2 linked regions of the Styela clava genome follow. The protein of the gene in region 2 binds, or shares a complex with, the protein of the main gene of each other region. Links are inferred from orthologs where the notes say so. Each region holds a gene or a part of one and is shown on either strand. Other genes may lie near its edges. The genes, in order: glutamyl-tRNA(Gln) amidotransferase subunit C, mitochondrial-like; glutamyl-tRNA(Gln) amidotransferase subunit B, mitochondrial-like.

Region 1 (12,942 bases), on a different chromosome or scaffold from region 2:
GTCTATCATCAACAAGGGCCAAACTGGTACATAGTTTGTTTATAATTTACACCAATTGTTTCCAATAGGATATCTACTCAATGAGCTGACGCGAATTTGTATGCGAAGGTAACAAGCGTGAAATTCAATGACTAGGTTGTTCTTGCATTTCCTTTGCAATCATTTTGAATCATGGCCCCACGGCGCACAAAGCAACTCTCATACTCATGTCTACACTCTTAAACAACTTCTTTTCTGTTTTTAATAGTTGTTAAAGCAGAAAATGCTGATTTACACAAATAGGTATTGGGAAATTGACACAAAAGTTTTAATGCTTCTTTTGCAATTGCTGTACCCCCTTTGTGGAAAGAAATCCAGAAATATTACCCCCTTCCGTGTTTTTCGAAGGTTTCCTCCAAATTAATATCATTACGGATATCTAGGAGTCCTTCTTGCTATTGCGCGCTTAGAAATTCATCCAAAAACGGAAAAGAAGCATAATCATTTTTTGCAACTTTACTGGCCCAGCAGTCATCAATTTTTCCTTTATCCAGAACCCCTAAAGAGCCCTATAAACTCACGGAACTCCACTGTATGTGCTGCGGAACCCAAGGATTCCGCGGAACCCCTGTTGAAGAGCACTTATCTAGAACAAAACTGATTAGGTAATCCTACACATAACCTGGTGAGCGGGAGGAGAGGACGTTATTTGTCACTAAATGACGTACATCCCCACAAAAAATTTGCAGTTACAGGTAGCAGTCTCAATTGGACAAGTTATAACTCCTTTGACAAGAGACTCAAGGACGCCACGAACTCTCGCTAAATCCCCGACGGCATCGACCCCACATTTTCTTTTGTCTAAAAGTTTGTATATCAAGGCTGCGGACATCATCTACTAAATATGAATTTTCATATTTTCCACCAGACAATCTGCTGATCAACACCGGCCCACGACCTCTCGGATCTAAAAAAAATTACAGTATAACATAGCGGAATGATTATTCTTGGATAATAAATTGTTTCCTAACAACTACCAACAATTTTATTAGTGGCATTGCACGACGACGGAATTAATCCATATCGACCCACAGTTAAATTACAATCGCATTTGACCAGTGGTGGAATGTGTGTGGTAATTTGGAACCGCATGCCAAAACACCATGCTCAAATAATAATATCGTGGTATAAATAACTGATTTTCGCGATCTCTCAGCTAAAGTTGCAAAATGACATTTGTGCATCATGATACATTTGTGCATCACGATAAGCGCTAGGAGTACGCTTTAATTATATTCAAAATAACCCCGGGATCGCAACACTGCTCCTAACAGTCGAAGTCGATCAACTTTCACATCCACTGCATAAAGGTGAGATCGCATCACAAAAAGCTTTCACTGGAGATAACAACATGTTACAAACAATAAGGGAATGAGTACAATATATATTTGGGTCGACAATGGTAAAAATAACGAATATATATATAACCGACAACAGTCCACGCACAGTCTTATAAATATATTGTCAAAATATGAATACTTGAGATAAATGACGAATTTGAAAATATATACAATCATGGATGACTTCTTGAATAGCAGGAGACAGACAGTTCATTGCACCAGTAATGCTATATACATTTCTTTACTTAAAACAGTACAAGTGTTAAGGTAAATATTTAATTAGAATATTAGGTTCAAGGTCATCTTACTGAGAAGTGATTAATAAGTGTTTTCCTTCAAATGGGCATGTGAAAAGCTGTAGTGAAGACAATTTTATTATATACTTCAGCATGGTAAGTGGATGGTTCATTACTAATTGAAATGTTTTTAAATATCTAGACCTAGAGAAATTATACCTACATAGAGCGAGCAAATGAACAAAACAACCTAAATTGGAAATAACAATCCAGAACTGAATATACAATAAGTTTCATAGCCTTTTTGAGGTACATAAAGAAATTTTCAATTAAATTGCGATCACCAACAATTTGGAGTGTATGTATGGAAAAGTATATAAAAATGTCAATCAGGCAGTGTCTATACCAAGTGGCATGCATGAAAAAAACAATCTATGATATGTATAGAGTCTTTTAAAAATGCTAACATCAATCTCGACTTCATTTGAAATGGTATAATTTTTTTAGGAGCTCATTACAAAGTATTTCAAAGAAATAATACTTGAAAATAATATGAAAATGTATTGGCTAATCATTTCAGATATATCCCACAATTGGCAATTTAAAAAACGAGTATCTAGCAAATATATGGTGCAGATTCGATACATGCATTTCAACCATGAAATAAAGAGCAATTAAGTATTGCAAATATTGAATAGAGCATGAATAAAACAAAGATCCTATAAATTGCAGCTGAAAAGTGCTCATATTATGTCACAATAAAATCTTTAAAAATATCATAAACAGTTCTAAGACCAAGTAACAACTCTAACATATTTGAAAAGCTAATCTCAAGTAGGTAAATTTGAAACTTTTTAGCAAGCACTAATAAAAATATTCAATATCAACAAAGACAATGTGATTTCTGTGAATGGCAGGTGTCCAATGTGTGATTTCTTTACTGAAAAATATTAAACAATGTGGTATTAACATTGAGTAGCATATCGTTTAATAATTTCTGGAACCTGCATAAAAATGTTTTCAACATTAGATGACATAAGTTTAGAATATGTTTTAATGGAATGGCCATTGTAAACTTCCATGTTTGTGGCATAGCATCACATATTACAAATAGGTTAAAGTTTCGAGTGAAATTATTAGACAATAAAACTCAAATCACCCAAGTCACGAGCTGATCAATCAGTGAACCAAAGCTTAAAGACTTGCTGAATGAATTCCAAAATAGCTTGTTGGGAATCGGCATATGCAATGTTACAAAATTACCTTCTTTTATATTATTTTTACTAGGGAAAAATCGTAATACTCGCTAAAATGGTACCTGAATTCATCAAAGATTTTCGTGACCTATTAAACATTTTAAAACAAAATTTTCATTGCAAGTATGTTCCACTGGTGTTCCAAATTGTTGAAGAAGATCGACAGCATCTTGGGTGGAATGTTTCCAACATGTAATTTCTTGTATATAATGTCCTAAAAAAGTGGTGTTGAATTAAAGTAAATATAAATGATTGGTGATTTTCAGGTTTAGTGCTCAAAAAGTTTGGGTATATCAATAAGGGTATACCAAATTTACATCATAAAAATTATGAACGATGGTAATGTAATAAAAAAAATGTTATCCAGCAGGTCAAAAGCGGAATTGGTCTCCAGATAGTCAGGAGAAAAGTAGGCAACAGGTTGTGTAGGAGAAACGCTACTCTAAGAGAAACCCTTCTTAGAGCCTCAATAGTCCAATCTAATAATCTCAAATTTGCTATTAAACACCAACCCCAACAAGCTGTGGAGAAATAAAATACTGCGTAAACACCTGGTCAAGTCTCTTTCGTTGATCGACGAGCTCTTAGTCTTGCTCTATAATTTAGTTTCTCTTCGGAAGCTTTATTAGCTGTCTCCTCCTGTTTTCCATCAGTTATTGCTTGAATAAATTTAAACCTCTTCAGGAAAAGTTTGTAAACAATCACCCACAATATGAAAATAAATACGACAACAATCAAAGCACTTGATATTGTGAGCCCAGCAAAAAGAAGAAAATCTTGCAGCATGCTATATAAAGTTTTGAGTTTATACCCTATTGTAAATTTGTAACCTAAACTATAAATAAATGTAAATTTTAATGATGAGAGAATTATTTTAATGGAGAAAAGAGAAGACATGGCACTTTATTGAAAATTCGAGCTGATCTTAGTCACCAGTGAGGATGGTCAGAGGTTGACATTGACATATTCATTTAGCTTGTGAATTATTTTAACGATTAAGAATAAAATTTATGACACCATTGATGAATAAATAAATTCCTGTACTGACATTGACTCTGACACTGACTCTTGTAACGCATTCAGATTTTCAGCATTCTTTAACTTGGGGTATTCGTTTTCTAGAAATGCTGACATATGTGCAATTTGTTTATACTAATATTCGCTACTAAAGTACTCGATTTATTTGTTTCAATCGAAGTGTTCAAACTTATTTTTCTATTCAGCTCGTCCAACCTCAGAAGCTGACATAGGATTTCAAATCAATCTGCATCCTACTTGACAATAAATGATTCATGTTAAAAGAAGAGACTTAGTACCAGTAATTGTAACAATATCAGCTTAATTTGTCATCTTTTTCATTATCAATGTCAAAAAAGGTTTCGCCCTCATAAACTTTATTTCCAACTGGAGCAATATAATAGCCCTCAAATACTTCTTGCGGTAATTTTAATACATCTCCTTTTGTTTCCTGAGGTTCATCATCTCTCATTGGGAGAGGCACATTTTCCAAAACAGATACCAAAGGCTCAACTCCATCAGTGTCAACATGCAATATCTGGTCTGCGAAACGTATCGCACTCTCCAGTCTTTTCACAGCATTTGTGTCCTCAAAATTTACCAATGATAGTTGTTCCAAATGTCTTGCTTTTGATAATGAAATTTTTGTAGGTGGTGGAAGATCAACTTCTTCAATATGTTTCCAAACAGGTTCCTTAGGGATTAAATCAGAAGCTTTTTTTAAAACATTTCTTTTCGAAGTACAAATTTTTGTGTTGGAATAGATCCTTTTTAGTGCACTAAGAGATTTTTTTGTAAGCATTTCAGGTTCTATCTGCAACTCTGGTAAAAACATAAAAGTACACTACCTGATGAGCACTATGGAAGTTACATCTGAACATAGTGGCAATGAAATTCTGAATTTAGATAACTTACTAAAAAGGCAACTCCACACGATATTGTACAAAAAATCACAATACATTGACATTTGACACTGATAATCACATTGAAATGCAATTAAGTGATATGTGCAGACACATATTTATCTGGGCATTCTATTTCTCCCAAGACTATAGAATTTAATATTAAACTGAAAACGATTATCCTGGAAACACAATTCACAGTTACCGTACCCCAGCCCACACCAAAGTGACTTTATAGTCACTTGGCACGGCGATGTGGCTCAACGGGCTAAGCGTTAGGATTACGCTCGCCACCGCACCTCTAATTACTCTGCGTGGGTTCACAGGTTCGAATCCCATGCAGGGATGGTTATGTGCGAGAGGATTGCCGGACTCCTCGCCGTCGTTGGGTGGTTTACGTAACCGCTGGTCGATTACGGCTTCCTCCACCATCAAGTCCATGCTTCCGAAAACAAACAATATAACTAATCCCATACCCGACTTGGAATGGTAACCGGACGAGAGGCCGTGGTTCGCCATATGGATAAGCGGTCTTATCGGCTTTCCTCTCCCCCGGGATAAATATGTAAATCCTATCTTATCCTAGTCACTTTGGCCAAATATACGCACGATTGACCGAAATGGCATTTGCGCCGACGTTAAAGAACTGACTGACGTTGAGAAAACGAGAGAAATAACTGTTCGATTTCGAGTGCTCGTTTGCGCGTCTTGGATGGCAGTTCGTATAGTTTGAAGGGTTCTATTACGTCACTGTGACGTAATGGCGTAATTTTTGGATGGTGTAGTCAGGTGGGGGTTAGGATTGATACCGGTACGTGAAAAAAAAGTCATGTTACGCCCATTAGAAGTACCGTATGTTAGGTACGAAACTACATGAGACCCCCGGTACTTCAGTACTTATCTAAGCTTAATTAACATGTTGTCTAAGCAGACACAACAGATTTGGGATATTTACCATAGCTAAAGCTGGGAAACTAGCACCCTTTTCCTTTTACTCACATCCTCTGATTAAACGTGCACAACCTAAACTTCACCACTGATTCACGGTCTGAGGATTTGCTCTCGAGTTCGAAATAATAAAAGACAAACAAATGGGAATGGAAAGGGTTCATGTGAAAAATGGCTATCATGCAGCTCTCGGGCGCCGCATATGTATGGATGGATGTATTTTTATTCGTCTCTTATGGACCTTTCCCGACCTTTGGCCCCCGAAAAATTATTTTTATACTTTACCATTGCAAATATTTCGGGGCTATTTTAAGAGTGTTTTTGCAAGTTGGCCCAGTAAAATGGAGTATGTGTTTCAAAACATTATTATAATTTATCGCATACAACAATCTATTTTTTCAAAAGTACCGGTAAAGAATTTTAGCCTAGACTATCACAGCTATTTCTACACAAATTTTTTATTACTGCAATTAAATTAAAACTCCTAGGAAGACAGAGTGATCATTGAATTATTCGATTTATATTTAAGTTTCCGAAACACAACAGAAAACTAACGAATAGAGTTCAAAAACGAGATAATGTTTACGACCACGCTTGAAAATCTGTCTGAGTGAGAAAATTGTCTGAGCGGATGCGAAAAGGGAGCACTGTTACGTCACTTTCTGCATCTTGCTGATTGTCCAATGTCACGAAGTAAACGAGGAATTAGATGCTCGGGGAGAGGTCCATAGTGACAAATAAATAAATTGACAATTATTATTATTTAGGACGGGATGCATGCACAAGACCTACTGGCCTAAAACACAAATGTGCGGCATGCACTCCTTTTGACAAATATAAAACAAAAAACATTAGATTAAATATGTATAATATGGTCACTTATATAGACAGTTGTGCAAAGTGGGGTGATGGGTTGGTGTGGTGAAAGTGGTAAGGGAGGAATATACAAAACTGTTTATACAGAGGAGTTTATAAGACAAGACAACATATATGAATAGAGACAACACCAAATACACATATGCATAACGATGAAATCAAAATTTAGACGTAAATACAGCACCTGAGCGAACACGTACTACTTCTTTTATCAATACCTTTCCATCTAAAATCTCTACGTTTCGAACCTTACTCGAGGTTTTGTTCGCTTTCCCGATTCTATAATCAGTTACTTTTATTCTTGTTTTTATCTATCATTATCGTCTATTGCTGAATATGGAGTCGAAATAAACTTATACCTTTGAGTGGTGAGACCATATAATATGAATGGGCAAAGTATGAAAGGTAAATGTGTGGTGCATATATAGTACGTTTCACTCAAGGGTGATAGTAGAGTCTTTGATAGAATATGGCTTTTCAGCAAAAATGTGAACCATACAGATTTTGGTGAATAAAATAATAATAAACTTGAATCGTTTCAATCAACAAAAACATTATCAAATCGAATAAAGAAAATCTAGTTAAGAAAAATAAATCTAGTTAAGTCAAAAATTGCCCAAAACCAACTTTACACATAAACCCTTTTTTCATAGCGGAATATTCCATTCAAATCATCGTACGTTGCGCCTTGTCAACATGACTTGATTTGCAGTCCCGCCAGTGGTCTGTTTTTGCAGATTAGTTTTTGAATAGCATCTAAGATTTCTGAACAAACTCCGATTCTGAAACAGTTTATCCATAGACAGAAGGTTCTGAATCTTTATTGTGATATTGTCCGGGTTATTTACAAAATAGAAGATCTTAAGGATGGAGGTATATGCCACACTGGGCAAGAGTAAAGTTCGAAAAGAATAAATCAGAGACGAACCAGGGATCGGTAGCATTACTCCTGACCAGAGAGAGACGGAATCTCGACCACAATAAATCCAACCCGATAATTTCAGAATTTAGCACAATATTTAAAGACCAAAAATGGATGATAAACGGCAGCGCACAAAAGCGGAAATACGGAGAAGAAAAGGAAACTTTATTGAAATCAGAAGAGCGAATGAGAGAATTACTTAGACCAAGCTCTGAGCCAGCTCAGGAGAATCAAATCGAACTCAAGTAATTTGACGAGTGAGAAAGAACTGTCAACTTCAAATACTTTACAAAATCATGCATCCAAATTTAATGATCCAATGCCAATCAATGAAATCCACTCCACGAAAAAAAATAAAAAACAAACAATCATCCAACCTAAAACTAAATTTCGAAATAAGTGTATTTATTATTGGTGGATTCCTCAGATGGTTTCCGAGTCTCTCTGTGCCAATATTATTATGTGTTTTACTGTTGAAACCTTTACCAGCAAACAGGCAACATGCTGCTATACATTTCTTAGTAATATTGGCATTGGACAGACTTGGTGTCAACGGCCAGAATGCATTTGTATTTAAAATTTACACTGTGTTAGAAAATTTGTTTCATACTTTTACCATATTTTGTTTTTCATTTTTATTGGTTCAAAAGTTAATTAACACTTAACATTTTATTTATGTTTCTTAAATTCAGATATAAATCGATCAACTCAGACATTTTTGGCCACGGTCATGGACTTCTGATTCAAATAAGTTTCATGGTTAATAAACTTTACACATGCTTGAAGATTTCATTCACACTACAGAATAAAATTGATAGATACTTCTGGAGCAGGGCTTCCCAACGTGTTCCAGGTAGACCCCAGGGATACTCAGATAAAGTGCTAATTATATTAAATAAGTACATTTCATTAAAATTGCTGCTCCTTTCATATGCTGTTGGATAAACTGAAATAAACGAAAGAGCACCTGCTAGATTAGTGCTTGAATTAGTAAGAAACATGCATTTGGACGATAGTGTAGAAATGAGGATCAATATTAGTGACTTGACCCCACGGATCTCGATTCTTGTAAATAACAAGCAGCCACAAGTTCTCACTTTCAATTCTGTAATACTTTTTACCAATAAATTTTGATATAGAAGTAAAAAATTGAATTTAATATATTTGAACCCTATTGGAGTTACGACGAAATGCTTCTTGAACATTTAACCACTGACGCTTGTTAACAGTATCAAAATGCATCAATTTTATGCAATGCAAGTTTTTTACAAATCAACATTGTGAGCACAAAAACACTAATAAATCGGGTATTCCGCACTGAGAAATTTACACGGAAAAGTCAAGAAATTAAATAAAAACAGTATGTACATAACATAGGTAACAGAATTATTACAATTGGTCTTTTTTCAAATTATGTGGTTGTGTATTTGAAACAAAGGCAACATTATTTATAGAAACAGTACCTTCGACACTAAAAGATATCCGAGAAAAAAATGCAACAGCAATGGTAATCTGCGTTAGGTGGAACATTACCATAACATTAATTTCTACTGTAGTACAGTATCTAAAAGGAGGGAGAAAATCATATAGGAACAACATGAGTGTACGATAAATGAAAACACCACTACATACTGACTAATATTTCTAATACATAACTAGACTACATCTACACTGAATCTCTATAAATCACACAGTCTTAAATGCCCTCTATATTTTAAAACATTAACTGTCGGTCTACAACTTGATTTCTCACCTCTCAATCGCTTCCAAGGCTACATTTCTTTCAACTCCTAAATAACCTTTCATTGCTGCCCTTGTTCTTGTCGACTCTATTTGGACCAACTGACATCAGTAAAATTGGTTACTTTCCCTCTTTCACACAAACGGCCTAAATGTATCAAGTATGCTGTGTTCTATATAGTAGTATAAGTTTGCTGAATAGTCAAGAATCGTCATTAAATTAATTATAAACTTCCCATACATGAATGAAAATATCGTTGTTTGTGACATATCTTTCTAGGTCTAACCTTCTATTCATGGTAAGAATTTACAAGTGTTTAATAGCTTACTCATATTTTTAACACCTTCTTAGAATGACTTAACTAATAATAACTGAAAAAGACGATGGAAAGGCTACTCAACTCAACGTGAAAGCGAGCAGTACATACGAGATTCACCCGACCACGGGAATCTACCTACAGCTGATCAAATTTTAATTGTTACGTGTTGCAGAAGTCTGCCTTCATTGACGACCACTGTTACCAGAAAATCAGAGAATAGTAGGATATTATGTTATGGTAACACATATTTCTTGTAGTGAAAGCGTCTTTTTCGTAAAACGTGCAACTTTTGGAAATGGGAACAAAGTATTATTTGTTACTAAATTTATTTTGAGCATTTTGAAATCATTTTCAGGTAGTTCCCTTATGTGCGCTACGAAACTGAAAGATGAACGGCCTCGTCTCGCGGCCTATGATAATCTTCGCAAATAAACTTTAAATGGCAAAGATTAGGAAAAATAAGAATTGGGAACATCTATCCCTATCCTAAACTGTCTGGGCGGCTGGCGCGAAAAACCACCCTACGTGAGGATAATAATCACAAAAGAAATGCTGACTTGATTCCTGCAGAGAATGTTTCTGGCGATTGGTAATTTCTATTTCTCCATATTTACGCGCCAACGTGATGTATCGTCAAGTATTCAGTCATGTATCATCAAGTGTCAGTCAAGTATTCGGTCTGGGAGTTGGTTTGTTTGCTTAGTCACTGTCTGTGTGCACTTCTCTATGGATTTAAGCTTCGAGCTTAACTTTATATTCAAGAGTGTTTGTTCGTTTGTTCGTAATCTGGTTAACTTTCTACCGGTATGTCTGCATGTAGCGTCGTCATTTAGTATCACGTTTTGCTATTTTGTACAGGCGTGCTCATTTAATCACTACCGTACTGGCAGACTTCAGGACATCAAGATTGCGGTAGTCTGGTAGTCCCAATACTGCAATAAGTCTAGTAAGCATTGCTGTTGTTTCTGTGTTTAATGTCAGTAAGTAGAGAGAGTAGATAAAATCTATCAATTCGGCAGTGGCAAACGTTATAAATTTATTAATATGGTGTGGCAAGTAATTTTTATTCATTCATTTTTTTTTAACTACCCGTATGTAATTTATAACTTCTGTATGGTTGTGTGAGCGTGTGCGAATTATTTCCATTATTTTAGGTGAGTGAACACGTACCACTTCTTCTTGGCAAAACCTTCCATCTTTTATACATTCTGTACGTTTTGAACCTTTTCTAAGGTTTTGTTTGCTCTCCTGATTTCATAATCAGTTTTTATTTATTTTTTTTTACCAATCATTTTATTGTTATGCTGATTATGGAGTCGAAATAAACTTATTATTATATATTATTATTATTATAGAGTTGGATATCCAGGTACTAGTTCAGTAGTTCTGTGCCGGTAGTCCAGCTAATTAGACAATCAAATATGCTTCACATATACAGCATATAAACTAGAGCCATTCTGTGATTGCATTGTCAGATTGTTAAGAGTATTTACCTGTGCCCAAATATCATATTGTTTTCATATCACTTTCCGTACTTATGTCTGTATGTTCATCTTTTTCATTCACTTTTCAGTCGTACCCTATTCAGTATTCTGTAATTATTGTTAATTTCAATTCTAATCTCTGAATCTGGATTCTGAACAAAAAGAACCGGCTGCCAAAGTCACTAAAGTTGAGCCAGAGAACATGGCTCCTATACCAGATGTGCAGGAAAGAGTTCAAAAGCTAATTAAAGAGAATGTGGTTATGCTATTTAGCAAATCGTACTGTCCTTATTGTAAAGAGGTCAGTTTGTGTATTTTAATACTGTAATAAGCTATTTTTTCAAAAGCATTGCTAATAAAGATTGAGTGGGTCTCATGTAGTTTCGTACCTAACATACTTTTAGTGGGCGTAGCATGACAATTTTTTCACGTATCCATCCTAACCCCCACCTGACTACACCTTCCAAAAATTACGTCATTACGACGTCACAGTGACGTAATAGAGCCCTTCAAACTATACGAACTGCCATCCAAGACGTGCAAACGAGCACCCGAAATCAAACAGTTATTTCTCTCGTTTTCTCGTCGCAACGATTCCAATGGGAGAGAGATCGGTATCGTCAGTCAGTTCCTTATCGTCGGCGCCAATGCCACTTCGGTCGATCGTGCGTATATTTGGCAAGCTCTATAACGTGATTGTGATGTCGCAGTGTTTTAATTTTTGGATGGCGTAGTCAGATGGGGGTTAGGATTGATATATCAAAAAATTGTTACGCTTCGCTCACTAGAAGTATGTTAGGTACGAAACTACATGAGACCCGATTGAGTATTACGGTATCGGTCTATCTTGGAACGTTTTTAAGATGTGTATGAGCTATGTATTTCTCTTTTTTTTTTAAATCTTTACATATCATAGCTACTAGTCTGGAAAGCACTGAAGAGAATCAGCTTTATTACTGTTAAATGCTTATAGTTTTACTAACGATATTTGTGTTTTTAATACATCTCGAATATAAATTTCATTATCGTAGGTTATGGTTATTGATTAATAATGTTTATTTTTGTACTACAAAATTGAAAATAATTTTGTTAGAGATCAAATCTTGTCTCGTTTTTTACAATAATATAAAACCAATTTTTTGAATTCTTTTTATCCATATTGATTTTGTATATTTTATTTATTTTAAATTATTATTTATACCTTTAGATAAAGAAATTATTCAATTCGTTGGGAATTAGTTTTCATGCTTTAGAACTGGATCTTGAAGGTAAATGCCTATTATACTCCATCTGCAGGATTTACTGTCAATTAAAAAATGACTGACAAAATTTTGACTGATACACCATAAGAATTTTCACTCTTGTTCGCTCTCGAACGAACCATTTGACAGCAATTAAAATAAAGTTTATCATCAATAGTAGGCCTATTTAAAAAAATTACCTTGAAAATTGTGAATTTGCAACAATTTTATATTATACACAATAATATTAGGTGGACTGTTAAATCTGATATAATTAACAAATTTGTTGTATGAATCACCTTCAGACGTTTATTTGGTTACATGTCGTTTAAAGTTTGTAAACACTAATAATGTATAACCTTTACATTTTTTGGTTTCAGAAAATGGAGAAGCATTGCAGATGGCATTATTGGAATTGTCTGGTCAAAAAACAGTCCCAAACACATATATAAATGGTGTACATCTCGGAGGTGCAGATGCAACAAAATCGGTATGAATGTTCTTTGTAATTGGTCATGATGACATTGTATCTGTTCTTTATTTCACATAAACCTGAATAAAAATGCTTCTACACTAGGAGGGAAAAAATTCGTTCTACCTTGCATTTTAGGATATGGAATT
Region 2 (12,670 bases):
CCATGACGTTAAAAGTCTGAATCATGATATCACTGTTAATGTCCTGGTTATCCAGCAATACTAATAAATTAGCAGCTTGTTTTGGCGATACTGGACTGAAAATATAAATAAAATTATTAATTATTGAACAAATTTCCTTTAGCAAGCATAGATAGCAATGGATCATTCGCACAAATATTTTCTTGGGATGATTGGTACAAAGAACTGGAAATGAGGTTCCAGTTTTATTGAGCACAAGGCTGTAGAGCAGAAATGGACAAGGTTTTTGAATCAGGGGTCAAAATTTAGCCCCCCAGCGGGCGGACGATCTAAGTGTGACAAAAAAATGTCACATTTTATGAACAATATTTACAGTGTTACAAAAGCAAAAGTGGAAAACAATAATCTTCGAGCCAAAACTGAATACAATCACAATTCCAACAAATTCCTTGAGCTATTTTTTAGCTAAAACATCAAAATTTGGTTTTACTTTGGTTGTGGCATCATCAGGCGAGCCAGATTGATTTACCCAACGGGTCGGATTTGGCCCGCAGGCCGTAGTTTGCCCATGTCTGCTGTAGAGTCTGAGAAAATTTACATCAGACTATCCCTCCAGTAAATTCAGAATATTGACAAAGACAGGGATTTTGAGAATAAAACTTTGTTGTGACTCAATCAAGAACATGCAAAACTTCGACTCCTCAGCCCAACAGTTACTGTAATACGGATTATACAGTATTGAGTCTGAAGTTAACAGTATACCTACCACTCCTTCGTTCTCCTATTTGTTGCATACATCACACCTAATAATTGAGATCGGACAAAATCAAATGCAGTAAGATGGGTAAGGTTAGGAGCAGCAACCAAGATGTCAACAAAATATTCACCGATGCCATTTTCCTGAAAATGAGATTTTGTATAATTTTAATATCAACATTTTCACAATACAAGAATGCTACTTGCTCACAAATCAATTTGTTAGGCCACAAAGCCCACAATCACTTTTTGATTTGGACCGATTTGTTGCTGTACTAAGCATTTTCTTCAGTATTTTGTCACTTACGCATTGATTGCACGATATTTGCACTAATGATCAAAGACGCAAAATAACACTATTTTATTTCATACTACATTCGGTGAGGTGAAGAAATCGTCGTGCTACCTTCCCCGCTATGGTAGTAATGATGACACAAAGCGTTCTTCGACGCTTCCGAATGATTTAATCTAATTATCCAGTTTATGTTAATTATGCTAATTATCCAATTATGTGCGAGAGGATTGCTGGACTCGCCGTCGTCACCGCTTATGGCTTCCTCCACCATCAAGTCTATGCATCTGAAAACAAATAACTGATCCCATACCCAACATGGACTGGTAACCAGTCGAGGGGATTAAGTTGTCTTATTGACTTTACTCTGCCCGGTATAAATATGTAAATCCAATCCACTAACCATAAGAAATGTAGAGTCTGACAGTGATAAATCATATTTTTCAACAAGCTGTCTTCTGATATCTACAGGCATAGGATGAGGAAGTCGTCTTCTGATGTCATCAATATTTATGTCACAACTGAAAAATATTTTTTATGTCAATTTTTTCAAACAAGTTCAATGACTCCATTATGAAAGACAGGGAGCAAAGAATTATATATAAATACTGAAATGTGTTATTCTTTCAAGTGTGGCCTGTGGCTATCTGAAACGAAACCCCTATTTGACTCAAAGAATAATTAGTTCAAACCATTTACAAAAAAAAAACAATCACAGCAATATTGTACCTGAAAATGCTTATAGCAACAGTCATCAATACACAGAAATTAACATTGGCATACCTGGAATCGAATGAAGGTGGCAATGTTTCATCACTATACAAAATGAGGGGCGGTAAATTTGGTTCAGGCATGAATCTATAATCTTGAAATTCTCCTTTGTCTCTCATGGAAATTGTTATTCTGATAAAAAGAAAAATTCGTTCTCACTAAGCTGTTCTAGCATCCAGTATGAGGCATTAAAATCCTGTAGTAATACTGTTTCAAAATATTGTCAATAGAGTTACAGGACAATTGACTTTATTGTATTTACAAGAGTTGCACTTGCATAAAAAATTATCAAAAGGCTCAAGACAATTTATACAAAATCTATAAAAATGGCAGAAAGACTGGCTAGCTATAAATAATATCTTAACACACCCTTTCTCTGCGTTGAAATCTCTTGTTTCGTTGACAACTCTCTGCCCACTTTCGAGTAATATTCTTTGTCTTGATATTTCAAATTCTGAAAAGATTTGTAAATAAACACAGTACACAAAAATAAAATGAAACTTTGCAGAAGTGCCTTATGTTACCCAAAATTATTATAAATTACCTTTCTGCATTCAAATGAAAATACTATTTAATTGAGACATACCAATTGCTTGTTGAAGTCCGCGGATTCCTGCAATATTTTTAACTTCTGATCTAACACCAAGTGGTTCCCCTGGACGTCGAATTGAAATATTTGCATCCACACGTAGTTGGCCCTCTGAAAGTCAGCAAATGCATAAATAAAACAATATTTTTTGCATATAGACCAAATAACAGAATTGATACAATTTATTTTAAGAAACAACAAAGCATTTTCATGCCTTTTTTAAATGGGGCATGTTTGTAATATTTTGCGATAGAGACATTGTAACATACAATACACATAGTGATAAATATAACATAAAATTTGAGCGCCATCGGTAATAATATGCAGACTTTTTTTTAAGGCAAAAATATTTTACCATGCCAAACAAATAATTATCTAGATGTAAATGTGGGTAAAGCAAATAAAAATGAAGATAAAGATAGCAATCCATAAAAATGCAAATCTTGGGTCATAAACTCTAAAATGCACATTGCTTATGTTCATGTATTATACCAAATTAAATATACTTTCATTTACCGTCTACTTTCCCACAACAAGTGCCGAGTCGCATCATTGTCAATTGAAGATCAGTTACAAATGTAGCAGCTTCCTCAGAAGAGGAGAAATCTGGAGAAGTAACGATTTCCATCAACCCAACACCTGTTCTTAAAAATGTAAAGATGCAATAAAAATAGCTATCAATAAAAAGGTCAGTTATACTGAATCAATTGTTGAGGTAATTTATATAACTTATATATATATAACTTTTTATATAAGCTTATTGGCTTAAAATGAGGCAGGCAATTAAGAATATCGAATCCAGACAATTTGCATCTGAAAAGATCTGGTAACAGGAGTTATGCCTATTGAGTTTCGGCAACGACACAACGTGCAATGATTTTCGTGTTTCGAGAGCTTGTTTTTGAATATCGACCAGCGTGTTCTCTGGCGGTATGATCTCTTCTTTTCATTTGTTTTTTAGTGTGTTTTATTTGACGAGGCATGATGAATTCTATACCATATTCAATAACATACCAAAAGCTGCGATTCAAAGATAGATAAGTTCTAGATAAGACATTGATTAAGATGGATTAGGTCAGTGGTCGGCAAACTTTTTTAGGTGACGGACCGGTAAAGCCTAACCAAAATTTTGGCGGACCACCTTTATACAAACTAGCTAAGCTTATGTAGTAAATTATGCGCGTTAGAAAATTTATGTTGGAATTATCTCCAAAAACAGGTGTACCGGTGAGGTTATTAATGCGAGATCTGTATTTGTTCGTCCATTAACTGTTCCCAATTTGGAGATATGGTCGACAGTGATACACGTAACGTGTTTCTTACGCCCACCCGATTTCGGTATTTCGTTTTTGTAGTTGTAATTGTAAATATCGAAAACGCGACCCACATAAAATGATAACACTGTCTGTGAAGCTTCTCTTGCAATGTATGAGTATTTATCTAAGAGTATCAACCAAAAGACTACCAAGATACATATTGCAAATACGCTTTTCAACTTATTATCATTCGAAATTTTAATCGCAGGGATTCGTTGTTGTTAGACTGTAGAGGTGTTTTGGGGACGCTGTCCGTTTTTATGTAATCTTTCTGCGGACCGGTAGTAATCTTTCCGCGGACCGGCGATGGGCCGCGGCCCGGTGGTTGCCGACCACTGGATTAGGTAACAATGGTTCAATAAGCTAGTGAACATCAGGTTGACTATTCATATCCACATACCTGCTCTGTTCAAATCAATGAGGCTGCTATTCTCAACATCATCATGTAGACTCTTTCCACTGTCCTGTTCAAGTTGTATTTGATCAATCCCAATATTTTTCCATCGTATTATGTAGCCTTCCTCTGGATGCCTTTCTTCAATTGGTATTGGAAAATGACCATCAACTGCAATGGGTTTTCTTTGCTGTGTTATTTGATAACCTTGCTGAACAAAACATGAATCAAACTTTAGAAGTGATAATTTATTGTCCAACATCTAAATGCTAATATTCCTGTCTGAGGCACAATTATAAGGCCATAGTACAGGAATGACAAACCACTGATCCACATGGGTCACAAGGAGACCCACCAAGTATTTTTGTGACGGGTTCAGACAGTTCATTTTTTACCTGCGTACAATTAAATTTGAGAATCTGAGATCAACAAATCGTTTAAATCAGTTGTTCTCAACTGCGGTTCTCAAGTATTCTTCAAAAATTATTCAATTTCCGTGATTTATTTGAAAATGAAAGACTGGAGTGAGGTTGTTGAATTGATGTCATTTTGAGTGCAACTTTTTATTGTGATGTCATAGTGTTTCAGTACACGGATTTCTTTGTTTCCAGTAATCCCAAGCAGGCTATTCCGTACATTGGAAAAGAAGTATTTTCAAATTGAAATAGGTTTTTACATCAAGTTTAGGTGATGTTGTCACGAGTTTTGTTGATGTTGTTATTTTAGAACACATACTTGAAATTAGTTTTGCAGCTGTTTCAATTTGCGTTGTTTTTACAACTTTAATAAGGTTTGAAATTTGGCTCTGACACTAAAAAAGGTATAGAGTACCTTGGGTTTGAATAAATTTCGATTTTCGAAACGTAAATGATAGATTCCCAAGAGAAAAAAACAAAATTTAGAGTTGAATCAATGCGTACAGAATCAAAAAAAAAGGGGGGCCAATATATATACTGAAATTAAAATGGCTAGCCAACAGTTCAAATAAGTCTCTTGCCCCATCCATATTATATCAATATAGTTGAAAAGCAAGCAGAAAATTTAAATCACTCAGAGTGGAATGTTTCCAATAGTATAATATTCAATGTAGTTGTTATATAACAATATACACAGAGAATCAGGATAGATTAAGTGATCAAAACAGTTTGGAAAACGGGTGAGACTAAGCTAAGATACAAGCAGTTTGCACATGTCATCTCGCAAAATACTCTCAAAATAAAGATAATACTCCAGATTCTTGCATCAAATTTAAAAGAACTGTTAATAAAGACTGCTGTCAAAATTCAGCTACTGATTATGAAAATAGGCTACAATGCTTTGCTTCTAAACCCACAAGTATTCATTAAATATACCAACCGGTAAATCAGCATAAAAATAATGCTTTCGATCAAAATATGATTTCATGTTGATTTTACAATTCAAAGCAAGAGATGTAAAAACAGCAGCTTCTACGCAATTCTTGTTGAGAACCTGCAGGCGATAAGAATTAACAAAAGAGTGTTATAAAATATTACGATGAGTTATTATTAAAAGCAATGAGTAAACTTAAATATCAGCATAGGCATATCATTGCAGTAAGCTTATCAATCACAAAATGCATATGGAATTAGTTATTGTTTTTATGAAAAGAAAATGCAATCAATAGCATCAGTCAGTTATTTTCACCTTTTTTGATAAATAATAAAACTCTTACTGGGAATGTACCAGGAAGTGCAGCATCAAAATCTGAAACAAGAAAATTTGGCGGCTCCATGAAACGATTCCTTGCACTTGAGAATAATTTAGATCTTGTGTTGATTTGTGCATGAATTTCAAGTCCAATTACTGATTCCCAAACATTGTGAAGTTGTGATGGCTTCTTTTTTATTTGGGTGACAAATGTCTTGTTAAGATGATGCCAAATAGGTTTTTGAAGCAATCTATATTTTCCACCAATGCCCATTTTGAGCTAAGGATTAGATATAAATATAGGCCCTGAAAAATAAAATATAATACTATTGCACACAGTAATAATATTGGATCATAAAGCAATAGATATAGCAGAACAAATAGACTATCAGCTGCGCCAAGTTCCAAGCAGTGTTCTAACCTTGTTTTTTGCAGCAAAGTGACATGCAATGAAAACATAATCCGATATCAGAGACACCAAAATAGATAGTAAGTTTGGGGTTTAAACCCCATGCCCCCCTCTGGAACATAACATGTTCCAGAGGACTCTTTGCCACCAGAGTGTATCATGAACTGCTGTTAAATACAACTTTCTGCTCTATAAAACTTCCTCCATATCCCAAATTTTTGATACATTCCTCCTTCTCCTATTTTGAAATTCTTCACCTCTTGAAAATACTAGATGGTATCCCAGAATGAATATGAGTAATGGAGTAGCATCAAAATAATTGTATATAGTAAATAAAACATATATCTATTTATAAATAATCATATTACATTTGCCAAGAACCAATCAAACCTAGTTTTGCTAGCTTCCATGGATAAGGAGAGCTCTTCAGCAAAAGGTTGTTCTTTAATTATAACCATGAAACAGAGATGAAAATACTTATTATTAAATTACAAGTCAGGCTTCTGGCTAAAATGACTTTTTATTGATGATTCATATAGTTCGTTTTGTTTTTCTTCTTTTACAGGGGTAACCCCACTTTCTTGAAATGAAACATTCTTCATATTATTTTCAAGAGCCAAAGAAAATTCACCGGGGTACTGTGTCTTTAATTTTGCCCGAAGAGTTCTTATTCTTGTAAATATCGACTGCAAATCTTTACGCATTTCTTGCAATGTCGCAGTGTGACGAGTGAACTTTTCACTTGCCAATAGAAGTTGTTGTGAAGAAAGAGTATTGCAGTTTGTTAGCATTGCATTAGATTTTTCAAGTCTCCTCAAGGTTGTTTGTTGAGCTTTTATAATTGCATCAACATCCTCATTGTTTATAAGATTTTGCAGCTTTTGATCTAGTGTTGAAGAGTTCATGACAGCTTCTTTGTTATCCATATCGTAGGCTATAGCATAAACTATAATCTTAATTTATTCAATTCTGCAAATACAGAAATACCATCACAGAAAGACCATAATTACTATATAGTCTAATTCAAATGTCATATCTACTGATCTATCACCAGATCAGAGACTACTTTTATTTTCCCAGTCCTGTTATACAGTACTTTAATATTGTAAGTTGTGTTTAGGCCAAATTGTTCTACATTCTGACAGTCGTAGATCTATCCTTTGACCTGATATATCATATCAATAGAAGTTGTTGTGAAGAAAGAGTATTGCAGTTTGTTAGCATTGCATTAGATTTTTCAAGTCTCCTCAAGGTTGTTTGTTGAGCTTTTATAATTGCATCAACATCCTCATTGTTTATAAGATTTTGCAGCTTTTGATCTAGTGTTGAAGAGTTCATGACAGCTTCTTTGTTATCCATATCGTAGGCTATAGCATAAACTATAATCTTAATTTATTCAATTCTGCAAATACAGAAATACCATCACAGAAAGACCATAATTACTATATAGTCTAATTCAAATGTCATATCTACTGATCTATCACCAGATCAGAGATGGCGCACAACCTGAAAATAGATGTGTGTGTGTGTGTGTAGCGGATTCAGGTTGTGCGACATATTGCTGCACATACTTCTGGAGCACCAAAAAGTTAGATAAAATTTCGCATGATGACCTATAATCCGGTACATAACCTTGTAAATATACCGGAAATAGTGCCATAAAACCATGGCGAGAGGCGCCGTGGTTCTTTCGTGGCAGGAGGTGGTAATGACTGCGTCTCCTGTTTAGCACTGATTCCCTCTGTTTTGCGCTGGTTTCCTTCTGTTTCGCGCTGTTTTCCTCTGCTTTGCGCTGTTTCGCGCTCTTTGCAGTGTTTCGCGCTGTATTCAGTAAGTAGTAAGATCCGTTTTAATTTAATTGCAGTAATAAAAAATTAGTATAGAAATTATACTGAGCGTTATACTGTACCCTAGTAGCCTACAGTGCATGAATTGCTCTATACACATCGTACTGTATTGTAAAGTATGGTACTGTACACTAATAAAATGTACAAATAATGCAAATAAGAACTTTATCAGAAAAACAGAAAACAATTCCACATCACGTGAATAAAAGCAAACCTTGATGCACTAACATCAGTAACATCTTTTTTTGCTTTGAGTCCATAACAAAGGGCAAAAGTAAAAAAAAAACGATCAAACAAGTTACTAAAAAACCGGCTTAAACAATTAAAATGACGTACAGTATCACTGAAACTGTGTACAGTACAGTACCATGTGACTGAAGCTTAGTGATTATTCTTTCATAATCGTAATAGTTGGACACGTCATTTACGATGTAAATAACGAAAACCAATGAGCCCAGAGCACTGATTTTCTTGATCACAATGATCCTGTTTATAGGCTTAGATATTACAATACAGTATTATTTTTTATATCTGTATATGTTCGTAAAGTGCGTTCGTAACCTAGAAACAGATTGTTGTATGCGATGAATCCTCATTTTACGAATAACCCATTTCACAGGCGCCAAGCCGCCAACTCGCAGAAGCACTTTTGAAATAGCCCCGAAAATTTTGTAATGGTAAAGAATGGAAGAACTTTTCGGGGGTCAAAGATCGGGGAAAGGTCCATTACTTTTGTTTATCGTTTTTATGTGCTATGACGCCTTCAGAATTTGTCACTATATGGCACTATACGTGTCCATATATTTGAGCATAGCTCTCTTGTATTCTTATTTTATGATAATGAAAATACTGAAACATTAGACTGTCGAACTTCATCTTTTCATTGTACATTCACTGTAACAATAATTCTTACCATTATATTTGTTTACATTTTTTTGTTATTTACTACTATGCTTGTCTCGTATTGCGACGTAAATTTTGGGGGGCGTAGTCAGTTCGGTATGTTAGTCGTTAGTTGGGGGTTAAGATTAACATTTGCCAAGAAGTAGAAGTAAGCGATAGGCTATTGTTGCACATTAAATAAAGTAATATATGGTTATACATATGGTTTTACCAATGAACACTAGATTAGACACAAAAAAAAGCCGAAACACCAAACGGAAATCTGACGCCAAACCTCGTTATTATTGGACACGCCAGTGGACTTATAGATCGTTTTAATATTATGTTGTTGCTTTTGTTGATATTCTTCTTCCTCGTTGTGATGAAATCGCTTTTCTCTTGGAATACTGGACCAATTGCTTCGAAATTTTCAGTGTATAAAGATTGTTTTTTTTTGCCAGAAGGCTATTACTTTTATTTAGTCCTAAATTTTTATGAATCCTATGAGATCTAATATTTCATCCATTTTGCTGTATCACTTTTTGATCATGGGAACACGGATTTTAATCCACCAAACGTGACGACCGATTCCAAAAATTCTCGCTACTCGAATCTCGAAAGTTTTTGAGGTTACCGGTACCAACGACTAACATACCGACAATGCTAAAAGTAAGGTAAACTACTGCAGTACTGCTTCGCTTGGTGTCAATATAGTTGAAGACTGTGGTATCTGCTGTGACCTGTCCATCTATTTGAGCATAGCTCAAAGCTAGTTTTTTTTTAGTTGACGAAAAAATAAAATCTCTCTCTCTCTTTTAAGAGATTCAAAAATTGTTCAATTAATATAAATTGTATTTTGTTAAGTTGAAAGGGTGAAGTCTTTTGAATTAAAAAAAATAAAATATTCGACATTATTTAATTTTTAACCTCGTAAACGGAAATTATTTGCGACGAGATTTAATAATCCGATTACATAAATGAATAAAAATGTCGATTTTTTGATCCGGTAAAATTCTTGAGCAAATCTTTAAAAATTAAAAATTTTTAAAGAAAAAATTTGAAAATGAATAACGGCTCGAAGTTGAATGTGGAGGCCCCTATACTTCCTCCTGCCTTGCTTTATGGTAAACCCGGCATTAATAACAAGTATGGCGCGGCGGTGTGGCTCATCGTGCTAAGCGTTAGGAATACGCTCACCACCGGCACCGCACTTCTGACTACTCTGCGTGGGTTCGCAGGTTCGAAGCTCGTTGGTCGGTTACAGATTTCTCCACTATCAAGTCCATCTACAATCATACAATAGAATTGATAAAATACTGGCCCTATTAAAAAGGCCATTTTGTTTTATGTTCCTTTGTACAGCGACTAGGGATGCAACTTTCTCTTTGTCATATTATCTCTGCCAGATAAATTTCTCTGATGACAATATTCAGTTTTTGAACACAAAATGGAACTATGGGTCGTTTTGTTGTTTGTATTCCCCTTTTTCTTGAAGCGGTCTAACTGCTCAATCAATTGCTTTGAAATGTTCAGTGGTTAAACCTTGTTGTTTTCGATAAAAGGCAATTACTTTTATTTATTTCCAAAATATCCGTGGAATCTATGGGACTCATTTTTCACTTCAAAGTTTTTTGTGATCAAAGTTGAAAATAGGGTGTCGTGGTTCCGTGATCATATCTCAGTTATCTCGGGGCCAGACTACCGGTACTGTAAAAGATTTGAAACCACTTCGTTTTCATCTTTGTGTGCATATATTTGAGCATTGCTCTCTTGTTATTTTTGTTAATGTGGAGAGATGGGTTTCGGCATGTTTTACACCGCACATTTGAATATTACTAAACCCCAACATGGCTTCCACATTCGAACCGACGATCCTTTGACTGATCTAATTACTACTAAATTAAAAAGAAAGTATCAAATATCACTGAACAAAAGTGTTTGAATTTGCCTCCAAATTGTTTCGATTTGAAGGTGTTAAGATACTGCCCCAGGAAAACCTTGATTGCTCACATATCGGCAAGTGCTCACAGTATAGCGTCATTCTTGATAACTTGTGTGTCAATTATATTCGGTATCACTCATAAACACATTTTCATCACAACGTCCCAAATTCAATGTCCATTTTTAACGCTCTTGGTACCGGAATTCAACAAATATACTAACGTAAATTCATTTAGCAGTTTAGGCTGTGGAATGGTCATGAGTGACTCTGACTTTGAGCATCGCAACCAACGGCGTGTCTGTTTGCTGCAACAGAATTTAGATTGGTAACATAATCGTGAAGAGCCTGTGGATTTTGCAATACATGTTCTATTTTCTGGTAAGTGTAGATTAAAACGCATTTTATGATATTATTAGTTTGGTCAGAGTCGAGTGTAGTTTAATATTATTTATCTGCAAATTCAGATCCGCCTCTCATGTATATTGCATATATATTGGGTGCTCCCGAAGCATGTGTATCAAGATGGCGCACAGTCTGAACATAGCATGTGTACCAGGTTAGGCTTCAGGTTGTGCGTCATCTTGGTACGGATACTTCCGGAGCGCCATTTATTGAATTCAGAAAACTTTGTTCATATAAATTTGCAAGCATCGGTCCTACCGATTTTTTTTATTTGATTAATTAACCGCTACTTCTCATCTATACAAAGTAGGGTTTATAACTAGTCAAAGCATTTGTTTTTAACTCTACACTATAAACTATGAACCGAAATTTTGTAGATTCTGCTTATGAACTAAAGAAAGGTTACGGTATTTTTATTACAAAGTTATTGTGCTGCTCCGTGATATCTATTTTTGATTAAAAATTGGCCAACCATAAATTTCTCTCAATTAAGTATAATCATTTCAGTATTTATCCTGTTTGGCATGTTATATAATTGAGATTATTCATATCGTTTTGCAATGTGACAAACTGTTACCCAAATGTTTGAAATTGAAAGTATAAATGTTGCTGACCTTTTTAGGCTGGATTTCTGTATGGATATTCATGATTGTATTTTTGAACTGGGTTGGTTTTGGCTCTAGATAGATGAACCCTAATGCGCACTACCTGGCTGTCTTTACTAGACACAGTAGTTTCGTAAATATTTTTGTTTTCCACCATAATCAACTCAGAAATAAAGGATTAGAAAATACCGTTAATGCTTCTGTAATTTTGTTTTTCAACCTAACATCTACATCAGCTTTTTCAAGTCTAAAATCTCATTAAGATATATAATGTCTGTAGAAAAACAACTCATAAAAGGAACCTGTTGTATGGAATTATTTGTTTTTGTGTCAATTCACTGTATCCCTATAAGGATGTTTCAAGCACAAAAAGGCTGGAAGTTATGACCCGTGAAAAATTGGCCATTAAGTTCAATAAATGTACTTTCTTTTTCGTTATTACCTCAAATTGGTCCTTTGATGTTTTATAATAATATACATTGTACTCAGCACATATGGGATATGAATATCTTTAAATTTAGAAGTTTTTTTATTATAAATTTTTCAACCAACAATAATCCGAAATAAGAAGAAATGCTTTGCAATATATTTTGATGAGCAGTTTAATGAAAAAAAAAAGTTCTTACTTCAGTGTACGAGGTATAAATACTGTCTTGAATTGTTTAATTTTATAAAATTTCGATCGTACCAAAGTTTTGTTGATGATATAATCAGGAGTGCAGTTGTAATCGGAAAATTTATGTGGTGATATCAGGCTTTCAGTAATGTAATTTGTGTAAACTATACACATTATGAAGCAGCAAAAGATTAGCAAGAGA

What was found.
Region 1: glutamyl-tRNA(Gln) amidotransferase subunit B, mitochondrial-like (region 2) and glutamyl-tRNA(Gln) amidotransferase subunit C, mitochondrial-like share a complex: the UniProt entries of both Drosophila melanogaster proteins name them as parts of the heterotrimeric GatCAB amidotransferase (AdT) complex. The link is inferred for Styela clava from reciprocal best matches to the Drosophila melanogaster genes GatB and GatC.

Annotation. Positions count from the first base shown.
Region 1 is NC_135258.1:13,069,989-13,082,930, forward strand, and holds glutamyl-tRNA(Gln) amidotransferase subunit C, mitochondrial-like, read right to left. Parts: upstream 5,591-12,942; 5' UTR 4,724-5,590; coding exon 4,205-4,723; 3' UTR 3,384-4,204; intron 3,086-3,383; 3' UTR 2,934-3,085; intron 2,620-2,933; exon of another isoform or gene 2,556-2,619; 3' UTR 1,404-2,555; downstream 1-1,403. Other genes in the region: thioredoxin reductase 1, cytoplasmic-like, read left to right, coding at 11,283-11,381, 12,288-12,348, 12,702-12,811. UniProt on the Drosophila melanogaster protein: Allows the formation of correctly charged Gln-tRNA(Gln) through the transamidation of misacylated Glu-tRNA(Gln) in the mitochondria. The reaction takes place in the presence of glutamine and ATP through an activated gamma-phospho-Glu-tRNA(Gln).
Region 2 is NC_135262.1:19,544,674-19,557,343, reverse strand, and holds the start of glutamyl-tRNA(Gln) amidotransferase subunit B, mitochondrial-like, read right to left. Parts: upstream 6,281-12,670; 5' UTR 6,187-6,280; exon of another isoform or gene 6,072-6,186; 5' UTR 6,040-6,071; coding exon 5,791-6,039; exon of another isoform or gene 5,763-5,790; intron 5,568-5,762; coding exon 5,454-5,567; intron 4,309-5,453; coding exon 4,104-4,308; intron 3,027-4,103; coding exon 2,904-3,026; intron 2,499-2,903; coding exon 2,385-2,498; intron 2,253-2,384; coding exon 2,168-2,252; intron 1,931-2,167; coding exon 1,811-1,930; intron 1,549-1,810; coding exon 1,431-1,548; intron 880-1,430; coding exon 746-879; intron 96-745; coding exon 1-95. Other genes in the region: kxDL motif-containing protein 1-like, read right to left, coding at 6,663-7,100. UniProt on the Drosophila melanogaster protein: Allows the formation of correctly charged Gln-tRNA(Gln) through the transamidation of misacylated Glu-tRNA(Gln) in the mitochondria. The reaction takes place in the presence of glutamine and ATP through an activated gamma-phospho-Glu-tRNA(Gln).